Linked DNA regions of Elephas maximus indicus. The protein of the gene in region 2 interacts with the protein of the main gene of each other region in a pairwise test. Links are inferred from orthologs where the notes say so. Each region holds a gene or a part of one and is shown on either strand. Other genes may lie near its edges.

The links. The genes of interacting proteins can lie anywhere in the genome.
Region 1: the proteins of CDC5L (region 2) and AKAP6 interact in a two-hybrid assay, tested with the Homo sapiens proteins (2 studies listed by BioGRID and IntAct). The link is inferred for Elephas maximus indicus from reciprocal best matches to the Homo sapiens genes CDC5L and AKAP6.
Region 3: the proteins of CDC5L (region 2) and PPFIA2 interact in a two-hybrid assay, tested with the Homo sapiens proteins (2 studies listed by BioGRID and IntAct). The link is inferred for Elephas maximus indicus from reciprocal best matches to the Homo sapiens genes CDC5L and PPFIA2.

The regions. Positions count from the first base shown.
Region 1 is NC_064828.1:44,568,776-44,575,849, forward strand, and holds the start of AKAP6 (A-kinase anchor protein 6), read left to right. Parts: upstream 1-4,053; 5' UTR 4,054-4,078; coding exon 4,079-4,101; intron 4,102-7,074. UniProt on the Homo sapiens protein: Binds to type II regulatory subunits of protein kinase A and anchors/targets them to the nuclear membrane or sarcoplasmic reticulum. May act as an adapter for assembling multiprotein complexes.
Region 2 is NC_064819.1:108,943,175-108,950,773, reverse strand, and holds the start of CDC5L (cell division cycle 5-like protein), read right to left. Parts: upstream 3,007-7,599; 5' UTR 2,769-3,006; coding exon 2,724-2,768; intron 163-2,723; coding exon 59-162; intron 1-58.
Region 3 is NC_064822.1:144,442,129-144,449,134, reverse strand, and holds the start of PPFIA2 (liprin-alpha-2), read left to right. Parts: upstream 1-3,985; 5' UTR 3,986-4,060; intron 4,061-4,764; 5' UTR 4,765-4,872; intron 4,873-7,006. UniProt on the Homo sapiens protein: Alters PTPRF cellular localization and induces PTPRF clustering. May regulate the disassembly of focal adhesions.

The DNA.
Region 1 (7,074 bases), on a different chromosome or scaffold from region 2:
CACTGCTGTTGTTAGGTGCTGTCAAGTCGGTTCCTACTCCCTGTGTACAACAGAATGAAACACTGCCTGGTCCTGCACCATCCTCACAAGCACTGCTGTGTTTGAACCCATTCTTGCAGCGCTGTGTCAGTCCATCTCGTTGAGGATCTTCCTATTTTTCGCTGACCCTCTACTTCACCAAGCATGAGATATCCTTCTCCAGGGACTGGTACCTCCCGATAGCATGTCCAAAGTACCTAAGACGAAATCTCACCATCCTCACTTATAAGGAGCATTGTGGCTGTTCTTCTTCCAAGACAGATTTGTTTGTTCTGGCCAAGACCCATTGCTGTCGATTCCTACTCATAGTGACCCTACAGGACAGAGTAGAACTGCCCCGTACAGCTTCCAAGGAGCACCTGGTGATTCAAACTGTCGCCTGGTTGGTTAGTAGCCTGAGCTCTTAACCACTGCGCCACCAGGGCTCCCGTTCTTCTGGCAGTCCATGGTATATTCAAAATGCTTTACTAACACCATAATTCAAAGGCATCAATTCTTCACCAGTGTTCTTTATTCATTGTCCAGCTTTTGCATGCATTGAGGCACCTGAAAATACCATGGCTTGAGTCAGGCACACTTTAGTTCTCAAAGTGACATCTTTGCTTTTAACACTTTAGAGAGGTCTTTTGCAGCAGATTTGCCCAATATAATATGTTGTTTGATTTCTTGACTGCTGCTACCATGGGTGTTGACTGTGAATCCAAGTAAAATGAAATCCTTCAAAACTTAACTATTTTCTGTTTATCATGATGTTGCTTATTGGTCCAGTTGTGAGGATTTTATTTTCTTTATATTGAGGTGTAATCCATACTGAAGGGTGTTGGTAGTCTTTGATCTTCATGAGTGTGTGTTTCAAGTCCTGTTTGTTTTCGCCCCGTTCTTCATATAGTCCACTTTCTCGAATTATTTGTTCAGCATAGAGATTGAATAAGTATAGTGAAGGGATACAACCTAACACACATCCTTCCTGATTTTAAATCACACAGTATCCCCTTGTTCAAGCTGCCCTTTGAAATCTTCTGTTCAGCTTTTACTTCATCATTTCTTCCATTTACTTTAGCTACTGTACATTTAAGGGCAAGTTTCAGAGTCTCTTATAATATCCATTTTTGTCTTTTCTTAATTTCCTGTCTTTTTAACAAACTTTTGCTTTCTTCATGTATGATGTCCCTGATGGCACCTCACAACTCATCTGGTCTTTGACATTGATGTTCAATGTGTCAAATCTATTTTGAGATGGTCTTTAAATTAAGGTGGGGTATACTCAAGATTATATTTAGGCTTTCATGGACTTGTTTTAATTTTCTTCAGCTTCAATTTGAACTTGCATATGAGCAATCGAGGAAACCCTGGTGGTGTAGTGGTTAAGTGCTACCGCTGCTAACCAAAGGGTTGGCAGTTCAAATTCACCAGGCGCTCCTGGGAAACTCAATGGGGCAGTTGTACTCTGTCCTATAGGGTCGCTATGAGGCGGAACCGACTCGACTGCACTGGGTTTGGTTTTTGGTTTTTTTGGTTATGAGCAGTTGACAGCGTGTTCTGCAGTTGGTCCCCGGCCTTTTTCTGACTGATGCTACTGAGCTCCTCCATGGTCTCTTTCCACAGATGTAGTTGATATGATTCCTGTGCATTCCATCTGGTGGTGTTTCTGTCACCAAGACCATAGTTTCCAGTTACCAATCCTCCTTCTTTGTTTCCTGCTTTTGCCTTCCAATCATCGGTAACTATCAGTACATCTTGATTGCATGTTTGATCAATTTCAGGCTGCAGAACTTGGTAAAAATCTCCAGTTTCCTCACCTTTGGATTAGTGGCTGTGCGTAAATTTGAATAATAGTCATATTAATACTGGCCTTTGTAATAGGTATATGGATATTATTCTATCACTGACAGCACTATACTTCAGGATAGACCTTGAATGTTCTTTTTGACAATAAATGCAATGCCATTCCTCTTCAATTTGTCATTTCTGGCATAGTAGACCATATGATTGTCTGATTCACAATGGCCACTACCAGTATATTTACCTCACCAATGCCTGGGATAACAATCTGCAACCATTCCATCTCATTTTTGATGACTTCCAATTATCCTAGATTCATACTTCGGACATTCTATGTTTTGATTATTAATGGATGTTTGCAGCTGTTTCTTCTAATTTTGACACATGCCACATCAGCAAATGAAGGTCCTGAAAGCTTGACTCCATTCACGTCATTAAGGTCGGCTCTACTTTGAGCAGGCAGCTCTTTCTCAGTCGTATTTTGAGTGCCTTCCAACCTGAGGGGCTCATCTTCTGGCACTGTATCAGACAATGTTCAGCTGCTATTCATAAAGTTTTCACTGGCCACATATTTTTAGAAGTAGATCACCAGGTCCTTCTTCTAGACTGTTTTAGTCTGGAAGCTCGGCTGAAACCTGTCCACCATAGGTGACCCTGCTGATATTTGAAATACTGGTGGCATAGCTTCCAGCATCACAGCAACACACAAGGCAGCACAACAGGACAAACCCAGAGATGAGTGCTGGTTCATTTGCTACTGTCTTCTTTTTTTGCCATACTCACTTCCCTCATGTTGTACCCAGGGATTCCCCAGGACCCCTCCTAAATATCCCATCTAGAAAGAACTCCAAGGGTTTTTCAGAACTCACCAGTTCGAGTTTTATTCCTTCAGGGCTGTGCTAGCATAAACTAAAATAGACCAGTGTTTCCCAAATTTGCATAGTGATAATGCCAGACTCAACTGCACAATCTCCCGAGAGGCCTGTGCCAAAGCATTCAAAAGAAGATATGGCATGGCTCCCAGATGGACGTCTGTCTGAGTTTTAATTAGGGCTTTGAACTGGTTCTTCCCAGTTTAGTCATGGGTGAAGAAGCGAAACCAAAACAGACCCAAATTTTTAAGACTTGGGTGAACTGGAACGATAACCAGAATTTGAAAAAAATTGTGAGTAGAAGCCTTGCTAGAAACTTAGTCTCCCCCTTAGAAAACAAAGGCAGCCAACGAAATCTCTTGTCTGTTCCATTTTGAGAAGAGCAGGAAGCAGCAGTGCCCTGCTCAAAGATGGCGCCCACCAGGCCTGGGAATGTGTGTGTTGGACTCCACGGTCCTGCCAATAATCCAGTCTCACACATCAGGCTCCTGAAAGGGCTCACTACACCTCTTCTGAGTCTTTAATTCCAGGGCTTCAACCTGTAATTTTCCAGATCACACAAGCTGTAAAAATTTGGATCTGTTCTGGTTTTGCTCTGGCCATGACTGAACTGGTTCAAACCGGTTTGAAGCCATGGTTTTAAAAGCTACTTTTAATGAAATGAGAAAGTTGCTGTGGTAAGCCTAGTGTCAGATGTTTTTGTGCCTGAGCCCTTTCACAGCAACCAGTTCCCTTAACTTGTAGCAGATAACCTCCTGTTCTGCTTCACTGAAAGAAAAAAAAAATGAGGCTCTCACAGATCAACTTCCTTAATTTCTTGTCCTTCCCTACAAACTTACCTGTATTCATGCTCATGCTCATCCTCATCCTCATCTGCCCCCCCCCCCCCCCCCCGTCTCAGAGCAGCAGTGTCCTTTGTATGGAAAACACTTCTGCTTGATGCAGTAACTGCATTGTCTAGACTCTAGAGATACCCTTCAGGGTTATCTGATTCCAATTCTGTGGAAGCTATTTTACAAGTCTGTACATTGTAGATAACTGGTAACAGTGCAAAATGATTCTTTTCTATAGACAGGTAAATTCTGTCCTGCCCAATACAGGTTCAATTGACTTCTCTGTACCACTCTGGAAGAAGCTGGTTTTGCCTCCATTTGCGCATGCATTTCAAAATGCCGTTACTCCATATAAATTTGTGCGTTTTTGATTTCTCCTTTGAACTGGTTGTAGCATCTGCATTGTTCCTTCATTGATTAATACGTTAAATAAAATCTTTAACCTGTTCATTTTATGTCTGTATGTGAGACATGATTTTATGTATATATATATATATTTTTTTTTTTTACATTGTCTTTTAGCAATTTGGAGGTCTTCGGCTGAGATGCCCGATGGATTCACATATCAGAACCAGGTATACCTTTCACCAGAGAAGTGCACCTCCTGAGCAGCTTAAAGCCCAGGAGCATCTTCTTTTGGCTCCCTTAGTGACACTAGAACTTTGCTGATTGTTTTTATAATTTAATTTTCTTCTCTCCTAATTTTGTGGTTTGTCTTTGTTCTGTTTTCAGCTGTTAAGTTGTTCCTCACTCCTGGTGGCAGTGACTGGGAATTTGGTTTTATGGTCTGTTTGGTGATCTCTGTAAATGGACTAGTGTTTTATAGAAATCTAGTCTCTTGTTGGCAGAGAAACAACAAAGAAATTAGTTTGTTAGTCTTATTTTTTGCCTAAATTTGTCAGTTTTGGGTACAAATCAGTTAAGAATGTTGTGCCCACTGAGAGAACACCTTTTTGACATCTGATGCCTTTTTGTGCTTCTGTATTTACTCTTGACCCATGCCTGAAATTTGGAATTGAAGGTGTGAGTTCTTATCTATACAGAAATATGTATGTAATTCCGAAAGGTCTTCACCATTCATGGTATGAGTGTATAATGTTTTCTTAAATCTGGATGGTATTTATAAAGTAGATGATAAAATCTCCTAAATTAAAGGTGCCCTCTTCTGAACAGCTTATGAGATAAATAAGTGCTTATATAAATATAATATTCCTGTAATTCCCAGGAACTAAGGAAATGGAATTTCTAAAACTTTAAATATGCTGGATTAAAAAAATATTCTTAAACAAATCAGCTCAGGTACATTTTAAAAATTCAAATTCAAATAATATAGGTAAATCTTTGGCAGACTAGACTTGTTTAATACTTTCTGTTTAATAAAAACAGCCATGTCTTCTCTGATTTATCAGTGTTTAACTCACACACACTCATTTTTATTACACTTGGGTAGAGTTTTCCTGAACTTATACAGGTTCACTGATAGGCTGGCATTGCTTCTACTTAATATTTGATTATGAAAAGTATAAATTTGTGTTTGACCAAACTGAATCCTTATTCTAATGAACTTTATTTCAGTAGTAATCATGTTCTGTAGTAGGTCAGCTTGACAATAAATTTTCCAAGATTTTTAGGTAACTTAAAACCTTGGAGTGGTATTAAATTGGGTTAATTAATGGATAATCATTAGATATCTAGATCTTTTCTAAGTAAGGTAGAAATTGTTAATTTTAATATTAATTACCAAGCATCAGTTTAACTTATGTAAGAGATATTAGTGACTGTAGAAAGCTGTATATACTCATGAGCTCTCTTAGTCTGATAAAATGATGGAATATGACAGTTCAAATTATCTACCCTCCATTTTTGTCTATGAAATATGTTTTTATATTACTTTGGTTAAAAGATATATTATAAATGATTGAGATGACACTTAGAAGCAATAATTTCAGAGAAATATAACTGTGTACATGCTTCTGTTTTTTAAGAGAAAGAGTAGTTTTGTCCAAAACAGTGGAATAAAGTTTTTTTTTAATAATATCATTTTTTTCTATCTCTGATCTTCTCTCATTATTCTCTCTCTATTGTCTGTGGTAGTTCTCCTTTTTTATGCCTGATGTTGATAATTTGTGTGTTGTCTTTTTATTTTCCTGATAGACTGGCTAGAATTTTATTATGTTTTAAAAAAAACAGTTTTTGGTTTCATTTATCTTCCCTAATGCTTGTCCATTTTCTATGTCACTTATTTTTCCTTCCTTCTTTCTACCTTAGATTTAATTTGCTCTTCTTTCTGTAGTTTCTTAAAATGGAAACTTAGTTTGTTGATTTTAGAACCTTCTTTTTTAATATAAGCATTTAAAGCCACTGCATTAGCTAGATCTCATACATTTTAACGTGCTATGTTTTCATTTACATTAAGTTCCAAAAGAAACAAACCTGCCTTTGCTGTGTCCCAAAGGTTTTGGTATGATGTGTTTTCATCCTCATTTGATTCTAGGAATTTTTTGATTCCGTCTTTGATTTCTTCTATTACCCAGTGGCTTTTAAGCAGGGTGACATTTTCTTTGTTCCCCTTACTCTTCTGTGCTGAATTCCTTTTGTTTGTGAATTTTTTTTTCTTTAATTTTTGTAGATTTTGTGTATACTGAGACTTTGTTTTTCTTCTTTATTTTGACGAGTAGGTTTGTTAACTTTCTTTGTGGTTACCTTTAAATTTACCCTTTATCTTCCCTAAGTCCTTTATTACTTGATATCACCTTGACTTCCTCTTCATTTAAAAATTTTATACCTCCATTTGAAAGTTTATTCTCTCTTTTATTCTTCTGATGTTGTTTTTATTTACAGATTGACCTCTCTGGTTCCCTGTTGTAAATCTCTTAGTTTTGTTTTACCCTTGAGAGCTCTTTACCTAAGTTGGTATTTGGCTGATGGTGTCTTGCATCCTAGATTCAGGTAGTTGTCTGATGTTGCTGGTTCTCTAACCAAAGGACTCCCTTTAATAATTCTTGTAAGTTTGGTTTGGTTTTTATGTATTACCTTAATTTCTGTTTATCTGGAAATGTCCTAATTTCACCATGGTACTTGAACAAGAGTTCTGCAGGCCATATTATTCTTGGTTGGAAACTTTTTTTTTTCAAGGTTTTATACATGTCATCATATTGCTTTCTTGCCCGAATGGTTTCTGTTGTGTAATTAGAGCTTAATCTTATTGTTTCCCCTTTGTACGTGACTTTTCCTTTTTCTTGAACTATTCTCAGGATTCTTTGTCTTTGGTTTTAGAGAATGTGATTATGTCTTGGTGATTTTCTTTTGAGGTCTATCCTATATGGGGTTTGTTGAGCTACTTGGATGGTAGCTTTTCATCTTTCATGATATTAGGGAAATTTTCTGTTAGCAAATCTTCAATGTCTGTCTGTGTTTACTGTTTTCCTCCCTGTTCTTGAACTCCAATCCCACGTAAATTTTTGCTTTTGATTGTATCCCACATCATTCTCAGGGCTTCTTCATTTTTCATCATTCTTTTCTCTGATTTTTCCTCAAACAAAGTGGTA
Region 2 (7,599 bases):
CATTTTCCCTCATCATAATTAAGGTCGTTTTGTTTTCTATTCATTAACTGGTACATACCATCTGGCTTTGCACTGTTTTGCTGATTTTCTATGCAGCAGCGAGGCAATTCTAGACCACTGGTTTTTCCCATATTTCATTACTGCTGCTTTCAGAATTTCATCCTAAAAGAATTGTCAAAGAAATATAATACATTCAATCACTAAAGTCCAAATGAGAAAAGACAAAATTTAAATTAACTGTCAGGGCTGCTGAAAAATTTCAAGGAAAAGGATACATACATGCACACCTACAAATCCTAGGTTTAAAAAAAAGAGGTCCTAACATCTTATTTACTATAATGATAAACAGCAAGCCAGAATCTGCAAAATCCAAGAAATTAAGAAGGTCATCAGAAGAACATCCCACCTTCCCTCACATGCACATTCTCCCATCCCCATAAACTGGGAGTGGGAACAGTCCAATCCAAAAAACCATACTTGGTAGGTTAAAAGTATCTTCCAATGTGTAACCATTATTCTCTTCAAAAGGGTATAGCTCATTCATGTATTCGTTAGCTCAAAAAACATTTCCTGAACACTTAACCTTGTACTAGGTCCTATATACATGGGGAAAAAGAATTAAATAGACCTCCCAGCGCTCAAGAAGCAAATCAAGACTCGAGTGAATCCATTCTTCAGTCCAGGCCTCCTGACTCCTGCTAATCCATGACATTTACTCTCCAGTCCTTAACTCTCACCATGACTCAAGAATCCATGTCCCAGATCTAACCTAAGAAGTACATATTTCTCCCCTACCCCACCAGTAAGCTCTCTCTCCAACCTCCCCCAGTCTCTTAGATACTATTTCCACAGGGTCCCTATGCTGAGCCACCTGGCAAGCTGAGCCAGAGAATCCAGGGACAATGCAGTCATGAATGAATGCATTTGGGTCATTTTACTTTTAGGACTTTTTCCACATTCAACCTGAGCTACATGCCTTCTGCTTGAGCCACCGCACTGTGCCCCCTCTTCATCATCAGACATAAAAAAGACTGCAGGGCTTTGAGCACTGTATAGGAAGCCTGTTGTTACTTGATTTTGTACGTATGTCTCTCCTCCAGAAGTCATCTCTTCTCCACTTTAAATAGCCTGGTTCCCTCAGTGCAAGCTGTCAGGCAGGCTTTTCACTGACTTCATTTGGAACTTTGTTACAGTACTGCTGTACTTAAACACATCTTCAACTAACTATATATATAGCAGTTATGTACCACACAAGGGGTTGCCATGCCTCTGAATCAACTCCACGGCAACCGCTTTTACCCCCCTAGTTTCGCTCACCAAACATTTGCCAAGCTACCTACTTCATGTTGGTTATTGGCCTAGATCCAAGGAACACTAAGACCTAGTCCTTGTCCTCTTGCAGTGCTATCTGCCAGACTCTGTTCTAAATTTTCCAAATGTATTAACTTATTTAATCCTAAAGAGCTAGGTACTGTTGTTTGGTTTATCAAGTGGATTTTGAATTCATAGTAACCCCATAAGGTCGCTATGAGTCAGATTCGACTCGACAGCACTGGGTTTTGGGGTTTTTAGTGACCCCATGTGACAGAGCTGAACTGCACCATAGGGTTTTCTAGGCTATAATCTTTACAGGAGCAGATCACTAGGTGTTTCTCCTGAGGAGCCACTTGGTGGGTTCAAACCGCCGTTGAGCCCGAGCCCACTGCACCACCAGAGCTCCGTATATATTATTATCACTCCTATTTAAAGAAATGAGGAGAGTGGGACTCAGAGGTTAAGAAACTCTCCCAGCAGCACAAAGAAATGACATGATCCTTAAAAAACGACAAAGCAAGCTAACAAATTAATTAAAGAAGTACAGTGAGACCACTGAGGATGCAATTAATTCTGGTAAGTGGGCAAAGACTACAACAAGTTTCTGGGTTGAGGTCTGAATGCTCAAGGTGCCAAGCAGTAGGAGGACATTTGAAGCAGAGGGTACAGAATGTAAAATGTGCTCCGAAAAGAGATAAACTCAGAGCGCTCTGAATACAAATTGCACTAAAGTATTATTTCTGTTTCACTCCTCTACTGTCCTTTGGCTCGCCAATGGCATAATCCACTACAGTTCTGGAAGCAGAAACTGCTACACACAGTCTGTCCTATCTATTATCCAGGCTGAGTCGGAGTGCCAGGAAGATAGGACGAGATGGATCTTGGCATCTGTCGGGAGAAGAGGCAGGTTATGCCTTGATAACAGATAACCAGAAGGATACGGGTATAAACGGGATCCTTGAACCTGCCACTCAAGCTGCTTCCTCTCTGCCAGGGAGTCAATAAAGAAACAAAGTTGTGGCCACAACACTTCTTTATTTTCCTCTTTTTGAGCACTGGAGAGAGGCGCGGGTGCCCAGGCCGAGAAGGAGGTGCTCCGAAAAACCAACTCTCGCCGATGCCCCATTCTCCCCCTCCACACTGAGTTCCACCAGAGCGGGGAGCAGCCTCCAAATTCAGCAAATGTTCAGTGAGGACCTAACAAGTGCCTGGCAGTGAACTCGGGCTGGGTATTCAGTCGGGTTAATCACGGTCCCTGTCCTTCAGGAGCTCAAAAAGCAAGCGCTGGGGCACCCAGAGAAGACGCAGACCGCGCAGGGCATCTTCCTGACCGCCCCGACGCCCGCGCGCGTGCGCAAAAGCCGCCGGAGGGGGCGGAGGGCAGCGGACGGCGGGAAAAGGAGACTCACCTCAGTATTCCTCCACACGCCCCCCTTGATCATAATTCGAGGCATCTTGGTGGCGGGCTGTCTCGGCAAACGGCCGAGGTGAGCTTCAGAGAAGTACTAACGGCGCTGGGGCCACGGGACCTAAAGCCGCCACTTCCTCCAACCGCGACCTTCTGCTTTGAGGCGATCTGCGCAGTCGCAACCTGGGGGTGGGGAGGACAGGAATAGAAAGTCTCGCGAGATCTCGAGTGGCTGCAAGGAAAGCAGTGCATTGTTGAAACTCTAGCCTGGGGAAATCGTCAAACCTCTCTAGCCAAAGCGCTCTACGCCGCACGCGAGTTCAGGACCTGTTGGCGGAAACTGCGACTCTCGCGAGATAGTAGCGGTGTGGCGTTTGGCAGGAAACATAAGTGGTGAGGTTGGTTGTGACGTCACCGAGTGGCAGGAGATGGGGATGTCACGCGTGAAGAATTCAGCCCAGGTGGTCAGAAAAGAGCTTTGTTATTTTGTTAGTTTAGCGCTTTATCGGGCGTTTAATTAACAGGAATTTATTCAGAGAAGGCTCAGGCAATAGGCTATTTGTCTGTTTCCTAATCTATAAAATAGAGGTAATAATGGTACCAACCTCGTAGGGTTGTCCTAAGGTCTAAATGAGATCGTGTACATAAACCTAGCACAATATCTGGTGCATAAAAAAGAAACAAACCACAAACCATTGCTGTCAAGATGATGCCAACTCATGGAACCCCATATGTTATAGAGTGGAACTGCTCTGCAGGGTTTTCTAGGCTTTATGGCAGCAGATCGCCCGGCTGGGTGTGCAAAACACCAACCTTTAGGTTAGTAAAGAAAAAAAAAAAGCATTGCGGTGGAGTGGGTTCGGACTCAGTGAATAGTGGAACTGCTGTCTTTTTGAGGGGGGGGGGCGGTGTTTAGCAGCTGTAGCTCTTAACCACCAGACCGCCAGGGCTACAAACCATTTGTATCACCCAGGGACCTGTGATACATGTTCTTCTTAGGTGCCTTTGAGTCAGTTCTGACTCATAGCAACCCTGTGTACAACAGAAGGAAACACTGCCCAGTCCTGTGTCATCCTCACAATCGTCGCTGTTTGAGTCCATTGTTGCAGCCTTTGTGTCGATCCGTATGTAGGAGGTCTCCCTCTTTTTCAGTGTCTCTGTATTTTACCAAGCATGATTCCCTACTCCATGGACTGGTCCTTCCTGATAATATGTGCACTCATTAGCCAACCAGTGGGGTTTCCTTGGTCCTGAAGGAGATTGGCTACTGAAATGCTGAGAGTTGTTAGTCTGACCGTGTCACAGCCTCACTGTATATGGTTGGCTTATTTCTCACCTCTTTCTCCAGATGTTTGCCTCTTGCCTGACTAATGGGAGTCTCTCACCCTCCTTAGCTGTGCAGACAGATGATACTGAAGCTATACGACAATAGTATTAATACTTGATATAGAGCCAGCCTTCATGTTTTCCTGACTTGTACCAAGTGGGTATTAAACACCAAAAGGATATCAATAAAATGAGAATAGCTTTACCAAAAATAATGAAATCTCACATAAAATCTACATTTTACCATTGATTCGAGGGCATCCTTAGAAAACTGAATATTATTTAAAAAAAAAAAAAAACCCATTGCCTTCAAGTTGACTCCAACTCCTAGCCACCGGCTAGGAGAGAGTAGAACTGTCCCATGGGGTTTCCAAGGGGTGGCTGGTGGATTCCAACTGCCAACCTTTTGGTTACCAGCCAAGCTCTTAACCACTATGCCACCAGGGCTCCTGAATATTATAGGAGCCCAGATATTTTTTTGGTAATTGAATGCTTTCTAGAAACTCTGTATGAATTTTTATACAAGCACTGTTTTCTAAATCAGGTAAAATGTCATTAAGAATATAAAAAAATAAAATAAAAAGCTACATTTCTCAACCTTAAAGTTAAGTGTAATCAGTTAGATAGAAGGGAGAGCTTCTTAAAGGAATTGACAGATAGCTGGTGCTCACCCTTTTCTTTCTCCCTTTGCTTCTTCTGTATGCCTGAAGTGTATATGTAATGGTGAGAACACTAGGAGCTATTTTGGATTATGAGGTGACCTTGAGGATGGAAGCTAAGTGCTAAGATGAGGGAGCAAAAAGATGGAAAGAGATGGGTTCTGATAATCAACTGTGTAGCTGTCCCACCAGTCCTGAACTACTACCCTGTGGATTTCTGTTATCGGGGTTGTGTTACGGATTGAATTATGTTCCCCTAAAATGTGTTGTAAATCCTAACCTCTATGCCTGTGGGTATAATCCCATTTGGGAATGGGTTGTCTTTCTTACGTTAATGAGGCAGGATTTGTGTAGGGTGTATTTTGAGTCAGTCTCTTTTGAGATATGAGGGAGATTAAACAAGGGAACACAGGAGAAATGAAGATAGATGCCAAGACACATGGAGACCTCCAGGAACCAGGAAGCAGAAGCCAAAGAGACAAGGATCTTCCAGAACTGAGAGAGAGAGAAAGCCTTCCCTTAGAGCCAGCGTTCTGAATTTGGAACTTGCCTCCTAAACTGTGATAAAATTAATTTTTTTGTTAACACCACCCACTTGTGCTATTTCTGTTATAGCAGCACTAGATAACTAAGACAGGTGAGGAATCTCTGTCTTATTTGAACCATTTACATGAGTTTTCTGTTACTTGCAGCCAAACTGTTAGTAACTGATACACCCCTACGTTCACTAATTAATGCCTACTTATCTCTCAAATCTCAAATTGTCACTTTCAGGAAGAAACCTTCCCTGAGTAGGTCATATTCACCTTTCATTCTCATAACCTAGTATTTCTTCAAGTGCTTATTCAGAGCACTTACCACAACTGTAATTATTTGTCTAATTAATTGGTTAATATCTGTTTCCCACTGGAATTATCTACCACTCATTAGAGTTATACCTATATTGTTTACAAAAGCTAATAAAGTGCCTGGCACATATTAGGGCCTCAGTCGATACCTTATGTCTTCTACCCATCTACCAATTCACATATGGTACTGAACACATACTGAACCAAACCAAACCTGTTGCTGTCGAGTCGATTCTTAACTCATAGTGGCCCTCTGAGGGTTTCCCAGGAGCAGCTGGTGGATTCGAACTGCAGACCTTTCGGTTAGCAGGCAAGCTAGGGCTTCTGAACGCATACTAGGTACTAATAAACATCATGGTGATTGACAAATTGATTAACCAAAGAAAGCTTCATCCTCATCCAGCGTAAGCTTGGCCTGGATTCCTGTCACCATGATACCCTTAGCCTATCACTTCACTGCTTTCTCGTCCAGATGGTCTGTCTCCTCTGGGCTAAACTTTTGACCTGGTACCTATGTTTATAACCAGTAACGATGCTAAAAAAAAAAAAATTTAAATAAGAACAGTAGCCTCTGGGTGTGTTGGAAGCACCAACGTTTCAGCTACAAGCACTGAACTGTTTGCACCACACAGAGACTCCTTAACAATGCTTTACAGATGTGTTTTACTCTGACTTGGATGTGTGTGTTCTTCACTCCTTCTTAATGATTTTTCTGACTTTTAAAACCAGAAGGGGAACAAATATCTACCCATGCTCTCTGACTAGCAATTCTAGAACAAATAAGAAAACAACGTGATGCACTGAGGACAGTCATCATGTCTGTGATATTCCCGCTGAAAATGGATGACCTGGACCTAATCATGAGGAAACATCAGAGAGACAAACCCAAAGAAATTACCTGAATGCTTCAAAAATGTTAATTTCATGGAAAACAAAGAAAAGCTGAGGAACCGTTCCAGATTAAAGGAGACTAAAGACATGACAACTGGATGCAATACCATGATGGCTAGATTAAATACTGGATCAGTAAAAAAAAAAAAAAAAAACTGCCATATGGAAATGACTAGGACAATTGATAAAATTTGAATGAGCACTATGTATTAGATAATAGGATTGTATCAATATTAACCCGTTGCCATCAAGTCAATTCTGAACCACAGGGACTCTATGGGACAGGGTTGAACTGCCCCATAGGGTTTCCAAGGAGCAGCTGGTGGATTCAAACTGATGACCTTTGGTTAGCAACCAAGCTTTTAACCACTGTGCCATGTTAAATTCCCTGAACTTGGCGTTCGTATTACGGTTATGTTAGAGAATGTTCTTGACCTTAGGAGATGCTGCTGATGTATGGAGGTGTGAAGAATTATGATGTCTACCACTACTCTTAAATAGTATAGTCAAATGGTCAAAATAATAATATTAATAATATGAGAGAGAGAGCGTGCACAAATGTGGACTGATGTTAACAACTGCAGAATCTAGGTCAAGAATATATGGGTGTTCATTGTTCTATTCTTGCAACTTTTCGGTAAGTTTGAAAGTTTTCAAGATATAAAGTTAAAAAAAAGCTAAGTACGGTGATTGGCTTGTTGAAATCAAACATTTGATTGAGGACAGCAACACTGACAAAGATAATCAACTGGATGAGGCTCATCAGCGCTTGCTCTGTGGGCTGTCTCTGCTCAGGATTGTTTTGTAAAGTCCAAAGAACCTGTGGAGAGAGGAATGGAGTTAAAGGCTGTGTTCCATTGCAAGACTAACAGTTCTCAACCAACACAGTCAACCTGAGATGCAGAGCCATGATATCTGCCCAAAGCACTGCCTGTGGCAATAGACACCATCCACTCCCACTCCAGGAGAGCCTTTTGCCTTCTTTCCATTGATGGAAGCCTCTCAAAAGTCTGCTCTTTGGGTCTCGCCTCTAGTTTTTACGTTAGTTTTTGAATGCTCTTTAACCCACCAGGAGGGAGTAAACTTGATAGGAAGGGCACCGATGGTTGCCAATTGTCAAGCTCTTCAACTTCTCTTATCTCATTACTCAGCT
Region 3 (7,006 bases), on a different chromosome or scaffold from region 2:
CTATACACATGGACCTCACTAGATGGAATACACAGAAATCAAATCGACTACATCTGTGGGAAGAGACAATGGACAAGCTCAATATCATCAGTCAGAACAAGGCCAGGGGCCAACTGTGGAACAGACCATCAATTGCTCATAATGCAAGTTCAAGTTGAAACTGAAGAAAATTAGAACAAGTACACGAAAGCCAAAGTATGACCTTGAGTATATCCCAACTGAATTTAGAGACCATCTCAAGAATAGATTAAACATGTTGAACACTAATGACCAAGGACCAGACGAGTTGTGGAATGACATGAAGGACATCATACGCAAAGAAAGCAAGGGCTCATTAAAAAGACAGGAAAGAAAAAAAAGACCAAGATGGATGTCAGAAAAGACTCTGAAACTTGCTCTTGAACTTCAAGTAGCTAAAGTGAAGGGAAGACATGATAAAGTAGAAGAGCTGAACAGAAGATTTCAAAGGGTAGCTCGAGAAGACAAAGTCAACTATTATAATGACATGTGCAAAGATCTGGAGATGGAAAATCAAAAGGGAAGAACACTGCATTTCTCAAGCTGAAAGAACTGAAGAAAAAATTCAAGCCTCAAGTTGCAATATCAAAGGATTCTATGGGCAAAATATAAAATGACTCAGGAAGCATCAAAAGAAGATGGAAGGAATACACAGAACCACTATAAAACAAAAAGAATTGGTTGACGTGCAACCATTTCAGGAGGTATCATATGAGCAGGAACCAATGGTACTGAAGGAAGAAGTCCAAGCGGCATTCAAGGCATTAGCAAGAAACAACAACAACAAAAAAAAGTCTCCAGGAATTGACAGTATACAAACTGAGATGTTTCAGCAAATGGATGCAGCCCTGGAAGTGCTCACCCATATATGCCAAGAAATCTGGAAGACAGCCAGCTGGCCAACTGACTGGAAGAGATCTATACTTATGCCTATTCCCAAGAAAGGTGATCCAACCGAATGCAGAAATTATCGAACAATATTATTAATATCACAGGCAAGGAAAATTTTGCTGAAGATCATTCAAAAGCAGCTACAGCAGTACATCAACAGGGAACCACCAGAAATGCAAGCTGGATTCTAAAGAGAATGTGGAACCAGGGATATCATTGCTGATGTCAGGTGGATCTTGGCTGAAAGCAGGTAATACTGGAAACATGGTTACCTGTGTTTTATTGATTATGCAAAGGCATTCAGCTGTGTGGATAATAACAAATTACAGATAACATTGTGAGGAATGGAAATTCCAGAACACTTAATTGTGCTCATGAGGAACCTGTACATCGATGAAGAGGCAATCTTTTGAACAGAGCAAGGGGATACTGGGCGGTTTAAAGTCAGGAAAGGCATACATCAGGATTGAATTCTTTCACCATACCTATTCAATCTGTATCCAGCAAATAATCCAAGAAGCTAAATTTTATGAAGAACAGGGCATCAAGATTGGAGGAAGACTCATTAACAACCTGCGTTATGCAGATGACACAACCTTGCTTGCTGAAAGTGAAGAGGACTTGAAGCACTTACTGATGAACATCAAAGACCACAGCCTTCAGTATGGATTGCACCTCAACATAAAGAAAACAAAAATTCTCACAACTGGATCAATGAGCAACATCATGAAAAATGGAGAAAAGACGAAGTTGTCAAGGATTTCATTTTACTTGGATCCATAATCAACATCCATGGAAGCAGGAGTCAAGAAATATTGCATTGGGCAAATCTACTGCAAAAGGCCTCTTTAAAATGTTGAAAAGCAAAGATGTCACTTTGAAGACTAAGGTGTGCCTGATCCAAGCCATGGTGTTTTAAATCAGTTCCTATGCATGTGAAAGCTGGGCAATGAATACAGAAGACCAAAGAAGAATTGACCCCTTTGAATTGTGGTGTTGGAAAAGAATATTGAATATTCCATGGACTGCCAAAAGAAGGAACAAATCTGTCTTGGAAGATGTATGACCAGAATGCTCCTTAGAAGCAAGGATGGCAAGACTACATCTCACGTACTTTGGACATGTTGTCAGGAGGGATCAGCCCCTGATTAAGGACATCTTGCTTTGTAAAGTATAGCATCAGTGAAAAAGAGGAAGACCCTCAATGAGATGAATTGACTCAGTGGCTGCAACAATGGGCTTAAGCATAACAACTGTTGTGAGGATGGCTCAGGACAGGGCAGTATTTTGTTCTGTTGTACATAGGGTCGCTACAAGTCAGAACTGACTGGACGGCACTTAACAACAACGACAGAAGTCCAAATTCTGGCTCTAGGTGAATGCTTTCTCTTTTTGTTGGTTCTCTGGGAAGATCTTTGTCTCTTCAGCCTCTGCTTCCTATTTCCTTGGAGATCTCCATGAGTCTTGGTATCTATCTTACCCCATGTCTCCTCTACTTGCTTGTTTCATCTCTTTTATATCTCAAAAGACTTTAACTCAAGATACACCTTACACTAATCCTGTTTCATTAACATAACAAAGAACCCATTCCCAAATGACATTATTACAGCAGACATAGAGGTTAGGATTTACAACACATATTTTGGGAGAACATAATTCAGTCCATAATAGGTACTGATAATATGATTAATATGAAGAAGCTGTTACAATATTAGGTATGTCTGAAAGTGGCCTTGGCTGCCTGATGAGATAATGAGTTTCCTGTGGTTAAAGTTATTTAAGCCCCATCAAATGGTAAGTTGATTGGGTGGACTAGATCCTTGCTACTCAAATTGTGGTCCCTAGGAGTTAGAAATGTAGCCTTTCAGGGTCCACCCAGTCCTACTGATCAGAATCTACCTTTTAACAAGATCCATTGGTGGCTCATATGCACATCATATTTGGAAAGCAGTGCTGCAGTTGACATGTAATTAATTATGATATTATTCCTATACTTATCTCAAATTTATAGGATTACCTTGCGATGCAGGATTTGAATGACAGTCTAGGTGAGAAGGGATTAGAAATTTGACCTCATGATGCCACTATGATGTCACTAAATTAAATGCTACCCCAGAAAGAAAGGTTATTTCTTGCACAGTGTACTTTATTCAAGTATGCTGGCATATGAGTACTGTTATTTAGATAGCTTCAGACTCTTTGCTTACATAAAAGTAAAATAAACCTCTTGAATTTTTAAGTATACTCACACTTGCTCACACATTATACCCAATGTTTAAACATTCTCTAAATTCTCTCACCCTTGTCTTTTTCATTTTTACTAAAAACAGAATAGCTGAGTCTCCCACATTGGAAGGTTTCTTTTCTGCTTAGTATAGGTATTGGTTTTGTCTCCTGCTTTCTCTCCAGCCCTAATGGGTCTGTGTGAATGGACAACAGGGCCAGAAAGAAAGATGAGTAGGTAAAGGGATGTGTAGGTATAGGGAGAATTGAAACGCGATCAAGAGACCAGACTTCCAAGACGAATTCACTGGGGCAGAGAGGGGTTATTCCAATCATACAATCCTCATCGCCAAAGTAATGAGTGAAGATCCGGAGGGGTAATCAGAAATAACAGATGCCGCCACACCCTAGATTAACTGAGGTCCCTACAATCAAAATTACTATGCCCGGGTCCCGGGAGACGGAAGCTGCTTAAAGCAATGACAAGCATGGAAGGCCAGAGAGCCAGGGGGTGCCTAAGCCCATTCGCATTCCCACCAGCGAGAACTGACACACTCTTTCCTGCAGAGATCATTGTGTGTGGGAAGCCCAGGCTGAGGAGAGCGCATCCACTTTCTACTTCTGCCCGAGCCTTCACCGGGGGCACTGGGACCAACGTGAGCTCCAGCAGCTCAGGAGCGGCTTCGCGGGAGTCGTGTGTACCCGCGAGCGCGTGTGCGTGAGGAGGAGAGCAAAGACGTGATTACTTCAGAATTTATTTAAGGGCCGGTGGAAACCACTGCAGCAGCTTCCAGGGGAAGCCCTTGTTCCAGAGGAAGAGGAGGTGCGGCTGCCGAGCAGGGAGGGGGCGGAGGAGAAGGAGTAGCAGCAGCAACCCGAGGGAAGTGAGGAGAGAAGATGCTGTAGCATCCTCGCCGGCTCCCAGCAGGTTGGTTCTCTCCGCCAACTGAAACAAGCGAAAGCAGCTTGCAAAGAGGCTGGGAGGGAAAACTGGGTGTGCGGGGCTGGCTGCTTGCCTTTCCGGAGAATAAGCACCTCCTTTAAGTGCAATGAGACACTCTAGCTCGGAAATGGGCTGGGGGCCAGAAGGGGAACTGTTCTGATTCTCTTATCCCTGGAGGCTGGCTTCCCTTTAGCGTTCCAGCTCGTGACGTTAGCCGTAAACTCCAGAGGGTCTCGGGGTGGAGGACTGGGTGGAGAACTTCCCTTCCAGATACTCTCACGCCTTTTGCTCACGTTTCAAGGGACACCCTTGGGTGGCCCGGACGCAAAGAGGGGGCAGGGCCGCTTGGTTAAGTTCCTGAAAGTGAACCTGAGTCCCCGCGTTCCCGGCTTTCCGCCCCGGGTCTCCAGCTGTACGCGGGGAGCTGCGGCTGATCCGGCAAAGGGGCCGCTGCTGCTTTAAGAGCCGCCTCCCCCCTCCTCCCTTTGAGAATGGTCTGAACCGAGCTCTGCTTCCCAAAGCAAAATTTGTAATATGCCATTTTTCCGATGGACGCTTCTCCTTTTGGCTGCTGACGGAGCCGCTGGAAGATGCCGAGTTGCTGCCACCAAGCCACCGAGCCGGGGCACGTTCCAGGAGGGCGCCGGGGCACGCGTGTCTCTAAGCTGCCTTTCTGCTCCCGTTGCTAGGGAAATGGTCCTGGAGTGTCGGGTCTGAGCCTACCCTCTCGTCAACCCCGAGACTGCGGTTGTCATTGATCAATTTGAAGAAACAGGACCCGAAATTACAGATATTAGGTACAGAAACTCTTTGAGTTACACGGTTTCTCTTCCTCTTAATTTTTTTTTTTAACACCCTCCGTCCCCACCCCGCCCCCAGGGAAGATGAGATGCAAATTCCTCTTTGCCAATTACTGTTAGGTACCTTTTGCTTTCCACCCCCATCCCTTCTATTTCTCTGCCTCCTCCCTACTTGGTTCTCTCCTGTTGGGCAGGATGAAGAATTTTAGTGTGGAAATTTTGAAGTCAACTTCTTCAGGGTGGTGGTGGGGGGTGTGGCTGAGAGATAGCTGTCCAGCTGTGTGGGGTGAGTTGATTCTTAAGCCATATGTAAATGGATTGGGGTAAAGAAAGTGCAAAATGCTTCCATTAGAGCTGATGATAATGTTTCTTGAGGACCGGGGATTTCAAAGAGGAATATTCCCGTAATGAAATTACACAATGGCTAGGACTTCTGTTGCTGAATTACTCCTTGTGGGTTAAGTGAGGTAGAGCTTACGTGGTCCTTCAGACTAAATCTTTGCAGAAGAAACTAACTGTAGAGAATAATGGCATCTTTGCCTCTAGTACAGTGTAAATTCTATGGATCTGTTTGATTAAAGTGGTTCAGTGACAAAAACAAAAAAACCTTTTGTAGCTCTGTCATGTCTGAATAGGTACAGGTACATATTGCTAAGGAACACACTGGGTCTTGAAAGCCCTTGGGCAATGACTCCAGTGGGCATTCAAAACTTTTATTTTGAAATCTGAGGGATTTAGAAGACAGTCAAGGTTATGTGCTAAGAATAAGGGACTTGGTTTTCCTGACATAAATTCTTCAAGCTAAATTTAACCACTGAGCTAATTAAACCAACCAAATTTATTATTTTCTTTCTTTCACAACAAAATAAATAGTATCTATTTTTTTTTTTTTATATAACTAGGTCTTGAAACCTTCAGTAATTTAGTGAATAAGGCATCAGTTTTCAGATGAGGATGACATAGTTTATATATCCAATTGACTTTGGGTAGGGGGTGATGAAAGGGCAAATATTAAAGCAAACTATTAGTATGCCCCTTCCTAGTTTTTTCAGGAATTACATCATGCAATGCAGTTTTTAATACTGAAAATGATTGTTAAAGTTAAAAGTGGTGTATCTGGGTGAAAAATGCTTAGATGTTAAATGACCAGAGCCTTCTGGACCATACAAGTTGCTTCAGATGTCATCCATTCTATAAGAGGATGTTTAACTCTTACACTGAATATAGATTTTTAAATGCTTTTAATACTTAAAAAGTGCACTTCTGAGATCACTCACTTACACTGTATTTTAAAGATTTTGCCAATACTTTGATATTTATATTGGCCAGAATCTGAAGTCTAATACAAGAAACTAAGCTTGTTCATGAAAATGGCCTTATTTTTTGTAGACATGGTTTTTTCCTTCTAATTTTGATGGAAAGGCTTTAGATTTATCATCTGGGTTGAATGTTTTTTGAAAAATAATGCAGCATGTATTTATTTTATTTCCTAAGTAACTTTTGCATAGTTTGATTTTTTTTAACCTGTATTTGGAGGGTTATAAGTACCCAGTAGAATTAAACATTTAGTCATGTAAGCAGAATAAGTCATAAAGGTAAAGTACCTATTCCTTCTATAAAGATGAATGTTGGTAACTTTGTAATAGAAATAACTACTTGAATATGTAACAATATATTTTTATTACATGTTCTTAGGTATCCCATTGGATGCTTACAATGGACTTATTTAATAAAAAAAAAAGCATGCATTATTATCTTTACAGAAGAGAAAATTGAAGTTGTGAGAGGTGATGTGCCTTGCGTTGGTTCACATGTCTCAGAAGGGACTCAGCAAGGGCTCAAATCAAATTCTTCTGAGTATAGATTTACTGGACTTTCTAAGTTCCTAAGCAGCTCCTCATCACAGTGTCTTTCAGATGATTAAATCAAACACAACCTTTTATACTGATCTAAGAGCCAAAAGTGTGTGAATGTCTAATGCTCCATGGTAGTGAAAAACAGAACTAGGATAGTATATTCAGGGGAAAGATTTTACCTGAGGTAAATTTTTTTTTATTCATTATAGTTATGTTTTTCCTGAAAATTAAGTTGTTGTAAGTAATTCTAATGGAGAAAGGTAATAACTTTCTTT